2 linked regions of the Ovis aries genome follow. The protein of the gene in region 1 purifies or fractionates together with the protein of each later gene. This does not show direct contact. Links are inferred from orthologs where the notes say so. Each region holds a gene or a part of one and is shown on either strand. Other genes may lie near its edges.

What was found. The genes of interacting proteins can lie anywhere in the genome.
Region 2: the proteins of GBA2 (region 1) and ILVBL purify together in Homo sapiens (co-immunoprecipitation; 3 studies listed by BioGRID and IntAct, counting the BioPlex papers as one, with this or other methods). This does not show direct contact. The link is inferred for Ovis aries from reciprocal best matches to the Homo sapiens genes GBA2 and HACL2.

Annotation. Positions count from the first base shown.
Region 1 is NC_056055.1:52,793,615-52,799,419, forward strand, and holds the start of GBA2 (non-lysosomal glucosylceramidase), read left to right. Parts: upstream 1-2,367; 5' UTR 2,368-2,890; coding exon 2,891-3,219; intron 3,220-5,805. Other genes in the region: RGP1 (RAB6A-GEF complex partner protein 2), read right to left, coding at 169-315, 578-727, 829-912, 1,192-1,328, 1,698-1,813. UniProt on the Homo sapiens protein: Non-lysosomal glucosylceramidase that catalyzes the hydrolysis of glucosylceramides/GlcCers (such as beta-D-glucosyl-(1<->1')-N-acylsphing-4-enine) to free glucose and ceramides (such as N-acylsphing-4-enine).
Region 2 is NC_056058.1:7,845,306-7,850,988, forward strand, and holds the start of ILVBL (2-hydroxyacyl-CoA lyase 2), read left to right. Parts: upstream 1-2,040; 5' UTR 2,041-2,108; intron 2,109-2,596; 5' UTR 2,597-2,606; coding exon 2,607-2,741; intron 2,742-4,524; coding exon 4,525-4,726; intron 4,727-4,857; coding exon 4,858-4,985; intron 4,986-5,084; coding exon 5,085-5,223; intron 5,224-5,311; coding exon 5,312-5,423; intron 5,424-5,683. UniProt on the Homo sapiens protein: Endoplasmic reticulum 2-OH acyl-CoA lyase involved in the cleavage (C1 removal) reaction in the fatty acid alpha-oxydation in a thiamine pyrophosphate (TPP)-dependent manner. Involved in the phytosphingosine degradation pathway.

The sequences.
Region 1 (5,805 bases):
CACAGTAAACCTGGGGTCCATACTGGGGAGTCCAAAAGGTGGGCCTGCCTTTATGATCATGAACTATCTGTGGGTCCTCAGAAGAATCTGGCAGTTAGGAGAGTCTGGCTCCGAGACAGGAGTCCTACAGGGGAGGAAGGGGTGGGGCAAATCTGGAAGGACCCTCACGGAGGCTTCGGCAGGATGTGGCAGCCATGAGGCGCTCCCCAGCCAGCTCGGTGAGCCACGAATCCTTCTTCCCACCTTCATCCTCCTCTAGGAATGGGCTGGATGGGGCTACAGCCTCATCCTGGGGAAACCGGACATCTTGAAGGCCTAGAGAGAGTGTAGAGAGGTGGTGGGAGAGAAGAGCGGTGGTTAGGGTTTTAGATGCCAACCGTCAGGGTTGAAGGTACAGGGCGCCACAACTGAGGGGTAGGCATCTCACCTGTGCTCCAGGACATTCTCTCCCCAACTCCCTCACACCATGACTAAGATCAGGAAGCTTCCCTCCAGCCCCTTTCACAAACTCTCTAAAGAGCATTACTGCTTTGGTGAGGCTCTTCCCCAGCCCCTCCCTCCAGGAACCCTTGCTTACCAGTGAGCACAAGAACCCTCAGAGGGACCCTCAGTAAAGTGATGGGTGAGTTGACACGCTGGCAGCCAATGGTCAGTTTGTAGACATACTTGACTGACTGACCCCGAAATGAGGGTGGTCCCTCTACAGGCAGCACTTCGCTGTAGGAGTCTGGTTGGGAAGCAGTAGTCAGGGCAGCCAGAAGTAGCCGGAGAGGTCCTCCCTCCAGGAGCCGCAGAAGGCAATCCAGGGGCCCAGGGGCAGTCACTCACATGATTTGGACTCTCCAGGGTCTAGCCTCAGGTCACAGAAGAGGATTTTTGGTGGAGTGGAAAGGATACACTGACCCCTCTCACCTAAAAAATAGAAGACTGCAACTTAATAACCTCATTGTCTAGCGCTGGAGAAGGCTAGCGAGCAAGTGGGGACAGTAAGCACTGCCAACACGGGGCAAGCCATTCCTCTTTCCTCAAGGTGAGACAGGAACAGCTTTACGCCCCCTAGAGCAATAATTACACTCCACCACAACCCCAATAGGACAGAGACTGTAATGACCCACCAGAACAATTTGACAACTTCACCCTTGGGTAACAATGATTCCATCCCCCTCTGAAGGCAAAAGCCCCATCTCTAACCTCGGTGTGGAAGAAAGACAGTCTGGCTCTCAGGCTGGACCTCCGGCTGACTGGAGTCGGGGGGAGGAAGTGCCACTCGACTCTCACTGGCGTGGAACTGGCAGTGGATTTGGGCACTGGCCCAGGCCAGAGCCTCACTATGGGAGGAGGAAAAGAGGGCATCAGAGGAGCTCCTGACCTCACAAATGCTCTCCCAAACTCCCTACCACACTGAGAAGACCAACACAGAGAGGTGGCTGTCGTCCGGGATCAGAGAATCCAGAACCCCAAAGAGAAACCATTATACACAGAGAAGTATACCATAGGTAGCAGGGGGAGGAGAGAAGAAAGGCGAGCTGAGGGCTATGTCACCCACATCTTCTGTTAACTAGCCCTTCCCTACAATGAGAGCACAATGAACAAGGTGATGGTGATGTAGCCACAGGACAGCCTGAGCTCTGGCTCAGCTCTACAGATAGCAGGCTTCCTCCCAGAAGGCCTGTCTTCTTCAGTACCAGTGTCCCCACCTGGATGCAGAAGTGGCCGTGGGGGGCAGGGGATTGGTGACTGTAACCACACACTCCAGGGCCTCCCCTGCCAGAAAGACAGGACCTCTGCTCAGCTCTGCTACCACTTCAATCATGGCAGCTCCGGGATCGGATCTAGAAGGAAACAAGGGGTATCAGAGGTCAGTACCACGGCAGGGAAGGGTGTCTCGGGCGAGCCTGGGGGTGAGGACCGAGGAAACGGGCGTTCAGTACCACGGTGTCAGAGGGAAGCGCCCAGGTTTGGAGTGCGGGAAGGCGGAAGGCAGGTACGGCGGCAGCTGACCGGGCACTGCAGAGGGAGACGGAGCCGCTTAGGGTCCCAGCCCCCCGCCCCTATCGGCTCCAGGTCATCCCCTCTCTTCCCCGCCGGGACCCCTAGGCCACCCCCGACCCCTTCCCTGGAGGTTCCACCTCCCAGCCCGGGGCCCCGGCCGCCCGGCACCTCGCAACCAAGCCCGGATACCCCTCAGATCGAAACAGGGGACCAGACTGAAACAGGGTACTCGGTGCCTCGAAGGCCTCGGCCGCCCGCCCCTCCGGGCCCGGGCCAAGTGCGTGGCTGCGGCCGCGGCAGAGGCGGGACTTCCCTCCGAGTCCCTTCCGGCCGGAAGCGCCGGGCCGGCTAGGCCGGAAGGGGCTGGGGTGGGCCGGCCGCCCTGGGTCACCTTCCCACGGGCTGGTACCCGGGCGCGGGCGCCGCCCCGGACACCGGCCGGCGGGACCCGGCGCCCACCGCGGGGGGGCCTGGTGCCGCGCCCCGGGGACGGGGCCTGGGCTGCGGCGAACTCCTAGGCCGGTCCCGGGGGCGGTGCCTGGAGGGCCGGCCCCGGGGGCTCCTCCCCTCTCCGCGGGCCCAGTCGCCCTTTGGCCGGGCCAGCTAATCACCGCGGCCCAATGACGTCGAGACCCGATCCTTCCCGCCCAGGTCCCAGAGAGACAACCGAGGGTGAGACCGTGGCGGCTTTATTGCTGTCGCCGCCGCCGCAGCAGCAACAGCTACCTGGTTGCACAGAGACACCGGCTCGCCTCAGCTTTCCCCAGTGGCCCGCTTTCCGAGACAACACCTAAAAACCATCCACGTCCACATCTGGGCTTGGCTGGCCAGATACTTGGTACCAGAAAGCTCGGGAACTGAAACCACCGAGGTCCTGGAGACCCAGGATCCAGGGAATATGGGAACCGGAGTCCCAGCCTCGGAGCAGACCAGCTGTGCCAAAGGCGATCCACAGGCTTCTTGCCCTGAAAATGGCACGGAGGCTGTGCAGGTTACAGACTGTCCAATCCCTGAGGACAGTCAACCCCAGCATGAACAGGGTTACAGCAGTGCGGAGGACTCTGGGCAGCTGATGGCTTCCTACGAGGGGAAAGCTAAGGGCTACCAGGTGCCTCCCTTTGGCTGGCGCATCTGCCTGGCTCACGAGTTTGCAGAGAAGAGGAAACCCTTTAATGCCAATGACATCTCGCTGAGCAACCTGATAAAGCACTTGGGCATGGGCTTGAGGTGAGTCGATCCCATTGCCTAGAGGACCTTGTGCCTCACTTTGTTCCAGCAGAGGCAGGAAAGGGTAAGAAAGCAGGAGGGTGCCTTGTCCTGGTCAGGTGGCCCCTATCTATACCCAACATCATCTAAGCCCATAGTTTTGGAGGGTGAGACTAAGTCAGGTCTCTTTGCAACCCACTTCCTTCCAGTAACTTGTCTGTTTAGCAAGAAAGGGCATTTGAGCCTTGTAGTAAGCCTTACACATCTAGGCTCCCTCTCAGGTGCTCTCTCTTCTCTGAAGACTGCCCTTTGGGATTAGTTATACTTTGTGACAAGGTAGAAAAGATACTCTGGCTGTTTCGGTATTGATACAATGTTGTCTTCTTGGAGGGGAGGGTTCTCAACTCCAGATCCCCCTAAGCAACTGGAGTATTCACTGAACCTCACTCACTTAGGCACAGCATTTTATAGTCCCAACACCCTTTGGCTTCTTTCCTCAAACTCTGGCTCCAGGGAGTGGTTGAGAACTTGCCTGCTCTCAACCCTAAGGAGAGGGCGATGAAAGGTAATATTCACTCTATTCTGGAATAGATGGCCCCTGATATAAAAAGCAAAGAAGACCTTTGACCAGAATGGCCCTGCCTTAGGTGTTCCTAGAGATTAGTTATAATCTTCCAGAGCATTTCCTGGTCCCCTGCCCCAGCAAAGGGTTGCAGACAGGCTGAGAGCTTATCCTGGGCTATAGGACTCCTCCGGATCCTCACTGAGTGTTGGGACCAAGACCCAGTAACAGAGACAGGTGCCTGTGAGGACAGAAAGCATCACCCTGAGGTCATCCTGAGTCAGTTGCCACAGTAAACACAGAACTGTGGAGGGAGGCTTCAAGTATGGGAAACCTAGCTTTGACAGCCTCTTAAGTAGAGGTTCCTTCTCTTCTGCGGTCAGTGCTGTGGGGTTGGGGTGGAGAGCCCGTGGACCTAACCCAAGCCCTCGGCAGTGGGGAGGGCCTGTTGCTGCCTGGGTGTCTGACTCCTTTGACAGTTCCTCTGGGTGGCCTGTACTAGAGCACAGTAATTCCTCCAGGCTGCTTCTGAAACTGACTTGGCTAGTTTAGACCCTAAAAGGCTTTGGGTCAAAACAGGATCTGGGGCCAGGGTACTGAGAGAAGCACCTTGGGGTGCATGTGGTGGGAACACTGAGGTCAAGAACCTGCCCATGGGCATCTTAGCCCCTCCATCCCTAAGTATAAGCTGAATCACAGATGCCTGAAGCTGTCCTCACCCCCTGGACTCAGATCCCCATCCTAGGACAGGGTGGGGATCACTGACACAGGGGTTTTGAGATGAGATGAGGTCCTGCACTGAGGAGAATGCAGGGGTGAGACAAGAATTCTGAATGATTAAGTTGAGGTTGAAATCATGGAAAAGGACAAATAGATCAGGAATAGCCAGCTGTTCAATGGTGTGAGAGAAACATAGGCCCTAAGAGGGAGCTGAATTGGGGGTACACTGATCAGGAGCCCCAGTAAGACAGAGTTCTCTTGGCCTCAGAATGGTAAGAACTCAATTTTGGTTGCTATCCCTTTCAGCCCGAATCCATTCATTCAGTAAATATGTACTGAGTGCTTGTTCTGTGCTAGACACACCTTTGTTCTGCTATCTTCACATCTTGCATTTCTCCCTCACCACCCTAATCGGAGCTGTGCCCTCCCTCCATTTGGCAATCCTTTCTGGCCACCAGTTTCAAAGTCCAGTTTCCTCTAAACTGGCAAAGAAGAGCTGCCTTCCCACTGTTCGTCTTCCCTCCGTCTCCCCTCACTCCCAGAATGTACCCTCCTGTTCTTTAATCATATTTCTCCTTCACTTGCTCCTGTCCTTGTTTATTTCTCTTATGTTCCACTGTTTGTACATATGTTCTTTGTAAACCCAGCAAATATTTGTTGACTGCAGACCAGGTGCCCTGTGCTTGAAGCTGTGGGTAATAAGCAATAAGTCTTTGTCGCTGTCCCTTTCCCCAGGGAACTGAAAAGTATGTCAGACTCACGTGAGAAACAGTAAAGTAACAGGACAGTGTCTGATTGGGAGCTGAGATAGTGTACATACAAGTAATGATGATATGTGACATGGATATTCCACTTTGTAGCTTTCCTATCTATTGTGTCATTTGTGACCTTAGAAGGGCACAAATGTGCCAATAGAAGGTTATCTATTGTGCCCTTCCAACCATCCCTTGAGGTAGGAAGGGCAAGAGTATCCCCATAGATTCAGCAGGGTTACTTACCCCATTACATAGCTATAAGCAGTGTGCTTGAACAATGGGGATAAATGAACGAACTGCCGAGGGAGGAGAGTGGAATTGGGAGAGAGTCCAGCAGGAAGGGGTTGCTTAGTGAGGACCCACTCTGAATGGAAACTGTAGAAGTATTAGGCTGGGGCTTTCCTGGTGGCTCAGATGGTAAAGGATCTGCCTGCAATGCCTGGGTAGGAAGATACCTTGGAGAAGGAAATGGCAACCCACTCCACTATTCTTGCCTGGAGAATCCCATCGACAGAGTGCCTGAAGAGCTACAGTCCGTGGGGTCACAAAGAGTCAGACACAACTGAGCGA
Region 2 (5,683 bases), on another chromosome or scaffold:
TCATGGGGTTCTCAAGGCAAGAATACTGAAGTTGTTTGCCATTCCCTTCTCAGGTGGACCATATTCTGTCATACACTATTCTCCTAATCTATGTTAATGAAACATTGTATGGTAATCTGCCTTTCTTCAAGATTCAGGTCTATCGGCTTATGGCCTGGGATGACTCACCTTTTGCCATTCTCTGAGTTTTGAGACATTTCCTATCTTTAATTAGCAGACTGCTAGTAGCTGTATAACATCCAGCTAAAGACTAGCAGGGGGCACTCTTTCTGCCCCCTTCTGATGTCTCTGTCGGAAGCTTTCTCTATGTTTTATTTATTTTTTTTTCCAGTCCTGTGTTCTCTATCTTTTATACTTTAATAAAACTTTATTATACAGAAGCACTGAGCTATCAAGCCTCGTCTCTGGCCCCAGGTTGAGTTCTTCTCCTCCAGAGGCCAAGAATCCTGGTGTCTTTTATTCTTCAGCAACAACCTTTCACCTATAGCTAGAGAAAACCCCTGTGCAGCAAGGAAGACCCAGTGCAGCCAAGAATAAATAAATAAATAAAAATTTAAAAAGAATATACCTATCAATAATTACTAAAAATCAAAGCTTCTCTGTTCATGGGATTCTCCAGGCAAGAATATTTCTCTGTTCATGGGATTCTCCAGGCAAGAATACAAGTGGGTTGTCATTTCCTTCTCCAGGGGATTATTCAATGTATGTTCTTATAAAACAAAGGGAATAGAAGAGCTCACGGAGACAGCAAGGATAGGTGGAAAAGAGAAGCAAATGGACAGTAACACGTGGAGAATGTGGGGCCGATGGAAGTTTTGTTTTAATGGGTGGAATTGAAGAGTTAAAAATTTACATTCCCTCCTGCTCCTTCCCTCTTTGTTTAACTCAGCTTGCTCCTTGCAAAGTCTGGATCACATAGGTCTCAGAAAGTGGGGACTCACAATAATAGGATCTGGAGCTTATCTCACCCTTTTCCTGCTCTTTGCAATCGCCCAACCCCAGCAAACCTGCTTAATCATGCCCGTTTGTGTATAAAAACTCCATAACCCCTTTGTTCAGGGCTCAGAGTTTGGAGTGTTAACTCCTCTGGGCCCGCTGGCGTAATAAACCTGAGTTCTCCAACTCTCCGAGTGTAGTGCCTGGTTTCTCGACTACTGGTTTCTGCAACAGAATGATTCTACAGACTATGAACGATGGGGTAGAATTCTGAGGGCAATCCCAGAAGTGGACTCGGGATGGGAGCCAGTGTAAAAACGGCAGGGTTTGTCTTGGAGAGAAGCAGAGCGTTGGGGACCATAATTACTGCCCCTTTACTGATGGGGAGATCCTTTTCCAGAAGGCTGAAATGTGGCGAATCGCGGGCTGGAAAGGGGACCACTCGCAGTGTTCCCTCTCCATCACCGGAAGCAGAAAACCCCAAGCCTGCAGGAAGTGGGCAGGGCCTACGAGGGTAAGGGAAACAGTGGAGGCGGGCTTAGGGGAGAGAGGGCAGGCCTCTGCCTTTGCAGAATTGCGGTGGGGTGGGAGGCCGAGTCTGGAGCCAGAGGGGCAGGGCTTGTTTGGGGTGAGATCACGGATGGCGACACTGGGCGAGGGGTCTGTGATCGTCCGCTGGGCCAACGTGAAGGGGCGTCCAGCATGCCTTCTGTGGAAAGCAGTTTGGGCTCGGAATGCCTGGAATCTGCAGGCCAGCAACTTGGGGCCAAGGGGAGACCGGAGGAGGGCGGATCCGCGAGACTCCAGGCCGCTGAAAGTCGTAGAGGAGCGTGGCTTCTTGTTTTGAAAAAAAAAAAAAAAAAAAAAAAAAAGGGTGTGCGTCTGTGAGGCTTGCAGCACAAACCAATGAAAAGCGAGGGAGGGCGGAGCCTGTGCAAGAGGCGGCCAGTAGAGACGGAGCTCTTAGAGGAGGGGCCTGTGTCCCGGTGAGTGGCTAGGACTTCGCGCATGCGCGGAGGGGCGCCCTGGATCCAAGCGGCCAAAAGGGGCAAGGACACAGGTGCTTGGCCCAACCCTTTCAAGGCGTGCGCCTGGTCACGTGACACGCAGGGCGCCGAATTCCTCTGGAGCCAGCGCCATTTCCTATGGGTGAAGGTTAAAGTTCCACGGGGGTAGGAGGAGCATCCTGATACGACCTGACCTTGACTCACGGCCTGGATTCGGGAGTCAGATTGGAGTCCAGGCGCTCGGTGGAGGGGAGGGGTCCGGCTTCAGGAGAGGGTCATGCACGCAGACTTGGAGGTGTAGTCATGGGGTGGGCTCACCACTAGGGCGAAGATTCGTGTCCTTGATATCAAAGAGAGGCGGGGTTTCCCGCCGACCCATTGAGAAGCAGGTAAGTGGGAAATAATTGGAGGCGCTGTCGCCGCGTCGACTTGTGGTGGCCGAATTTAGCTGGTCGTGGTAATGTATGGGGAGGGGGGTTGGGCTAGCGTTGCAAGGGGCGTGGCCTGGTTAGGAGCCTGGAGGTGTAAGGGGCGTGATCGCTTAGGTGCGCGAGACAAGGGGCGTGGCCGGGATCTGGGCCAGGAGAGAGGGTGTGCCTTCTGAGTAATTTAATTGTCGCCTCCAAGTCCAAGCACTGCCCTTTCTTCCTTAGGTGTCAGCTCATGGAGACCGCGGCGACTGCCGCCCCAGCTTGGGGCTTCTTCTCCTCTTTCCTGCTCCTGGCCTTCGGGACGCTAGTGGCCGCCTTGCTGGGCGCCGCTCACCGCCTGGGGCTCTTCTATCAGTTGATGCACAAGGTTCGGGGGCATACAGGGGTGGCGGGCCGGGGGCAGTCAAAGGAGTGGACTTCAGTTAGCACCGTTTCCAGCTAACCCATTTCACAGGCGGGGAGAGTGAGGTTCCGATTAATGCAGAGCGACTCACTGGTCGGGAAATTCTAGGATCGGTTGCTACTGTGGAACTGCTTCCGGGACCCTGGACTTTGCCTCTAGGAAGGGGCCACAGGGAAACTACAGCTGCCCGGCACTCCACACCCCGCCCGGCACTCCACACCCCACCCTACCCCCTTCCTTAAAGGTTCTCAGTCCTTTTCACAGAGCGGTGCTCCCTAATACGGTGGAGTCAGAGTGCTGAGGGCAGGCCCCAGAGGATGTGGCTGGCTGTGACAGATTTGTGAGGGTAGCTGTCTGTTCTGCTCAGCGCTTTAGAGCGATTTTCCCAAGTACCCATCAGTTTGTTTTCATTTTCCACAAGCAGAAACCGAGGCTCAGAGAGGGTGTGTGATGACTTGCCTAAGGTGACCTGTTTAGGGAAGAAGTGACTCCACAGACCTGGCTCTGAACTACTTGGCTCCTCGCAGAAATTCACCCTTTCCCAGACCCTTTCCCTGTCTTTTTTTTTTTTTAAGTCTTTACTGAATTTGTTACAGTGTTGCTCCTGTTTTATGTTTTGGATTTTGGCTGCCAGGAATGTGGGATCTTGGCTCTCTGCCCAGGGATCGAACCCACACCCTCTGCATTGGAAGGCAAAGTCTTAACCACCAGCCCACCAGGGAAGTCTCCCTCCTAACCTGGAGCAGTGCCACTAGCCTTGTGGACCTGTAAAGATTTAAGACAAAGGCCGGGCTTCCCAGGTGGTGCAGTGGTAAGGAACCTGCTTGCCAGTGCGGGAGACGTGGATTTGACCCTTAGGTTGGGAAGATCCCCTGGAGAAGGAAATGGCCACCCACTCCAGTATTCTTGCCTGGGAGGTCCCGTGGACAGAGGAGCCTGGCAGGCTGCAGTCTGTGGGGCTGCAAAAGAGCCGGACATGACTGAGTGACTGAACAACCATAACAGTGACAAAGGCCTCTGGTGTACGGGGCTGTGTGGAAGCTGGGGCTGGGAAGCCCCAGCATTGTCTTTGCCACAGGCTGCTCCTGTGCTAGGCAACTTGGTTGTTGGCAGCCTGTGAATGGGGCCTGGTCCAGTGGGTGGGAGGGGGCCTGGGAGATGAGTTAGCAGTCTCCTGTTGTGGGGACCCGATACTGGAGGGCAGGCCGTTCTGGAGTCCCAGCTGGTGGCTTCTGGCCAAGCTCCCTTGGGCTCTGTGGATCCACCTTTTCTAATCTCTCTTCCTGTTTGCGCCACAGGTGCCTTGAGAGCACTGATTCTATGGGACTTTGAGTCTTGCTCAGGAGTCATGGTCTTTGTAGCTGTAAAAGGATATATTGTCGGGAGGCTCTGATAAGATGCCTGGTGTGGCTCAGTGGTAAAGAATCTGCCTGCCAATGAGGGAGACGTGGGTTCAATGCCTGGGTTGGGACAATACCCTGGAGAAGGAAGGTAACCCATTCCAGTGTTTACTGCCTGGGAAATTCCATGGAGAGAGGAACCTGGTGGGCTACAATCCATGCAGGTCGCAAAAGAGTCAGACACGACCTAGCGACTAAACAAGAGCAAAGCAACACCAAGCTTCCCCTGCCTTCCCGCCTTGCCCCTCCCCTCCTTCCTGGGGGAGGGGTGTAATTCCTCTGCCCACCTGCCCTGGTGTCTGCACCTTGGTCCTTGACAATCTCACTCCTCCCCTCTCCCGGCCCAGGTGGACACGGCAAGCATCCGGCATGGTGGGGAGAACGTGGCAGCCGTGCTGAAGGCCCACGGTGTGCGCTTCCTTTTCACGCTGGTCGGCGGGCACATTTCGCCACTGCTGGTGGCCTGTGAGAAGTTGGGCATCCGTGTGGTGGACACCCGCCACGAAGTCACAGCTGTCTTTGCCGCTGATGCTGTAGCCCGCCTGACCGGTGAGGGCAGAATGGGGAGGGCTGGGGGCTGGTGAGACTGGGATGTGTTTGAGGGGGCAGGGATTTTATTTTGCGGGGAGAGGAACATGGCTGGGAGGGTGGACCCAGCTGAGACAGGGTTTGTGTTCCAGGGACGGTGGGTGTGGCAGCCGTGACGGCAGGCCCCGGCCTCACCAACACAGTGACTGCGGTGAAGAACGCCCAGATAGCTCAGTCCCCAGTCCTGCTCCTGGGTGGGGCTGCCAGCACCCTGCTGCAGGTGCCCTGTCCTGGTGGGGTGGGGGGCAGGTGGCAGGGACCCCAGGGAGCCTGGAAGTGCTCATGTATTGACTTCCTGGATTTTTTCTGTCTCTACTAGAATCGGGGTGCACTCCAGGCAGTTGATCAGATGTCCCTGTTCCGGCCGCTCTGCAAATTTTGTGCTTCTGTGCGAAGAGTGCGGGATATCATCCCCACCCTGAGGGCCGCGATGGCGGCTGCACAGTCGGGTACCCCCGGTAGGTAGTGGGGCGGGGGCTGGGCAGAGGTCCCGCCCTGGGACCTGGGAGGCACGGCAGACTGAGCGTTCTCCTTGTCTCCATGCAGGCCCGGTGTTTGTGGAACTGCCTCTGGACGTGCTGTACCCCTACTTCATGGTTCAGAAGGAGATGGTGCCAGCTAAGCCGCCCAAGGGCCTCATGAGTCGAGCGGTCCACTGGTAAGTAGCCCGGCTCCTACCACTCTCCCTCCCATATTCCCTGGCTTCTCTCACAGATCCCTGCCAGCACCCATCCTTTCTTTGACTCATTCACTGATTTGCACGTTAGTTTGAGAGGAGCCAGCCACGGGGAGAGTTTCCTAGGTAGAGGAGACAGCATATGCAAAGGTCCTGAGGCAGCAATGAAGTTTTTGGGTTGGGAAAGCAAAGTGGCCCGTGTGGTGGCAGCAGGTGAGCAAAGGGGAGAAGGGTAGAGGCTG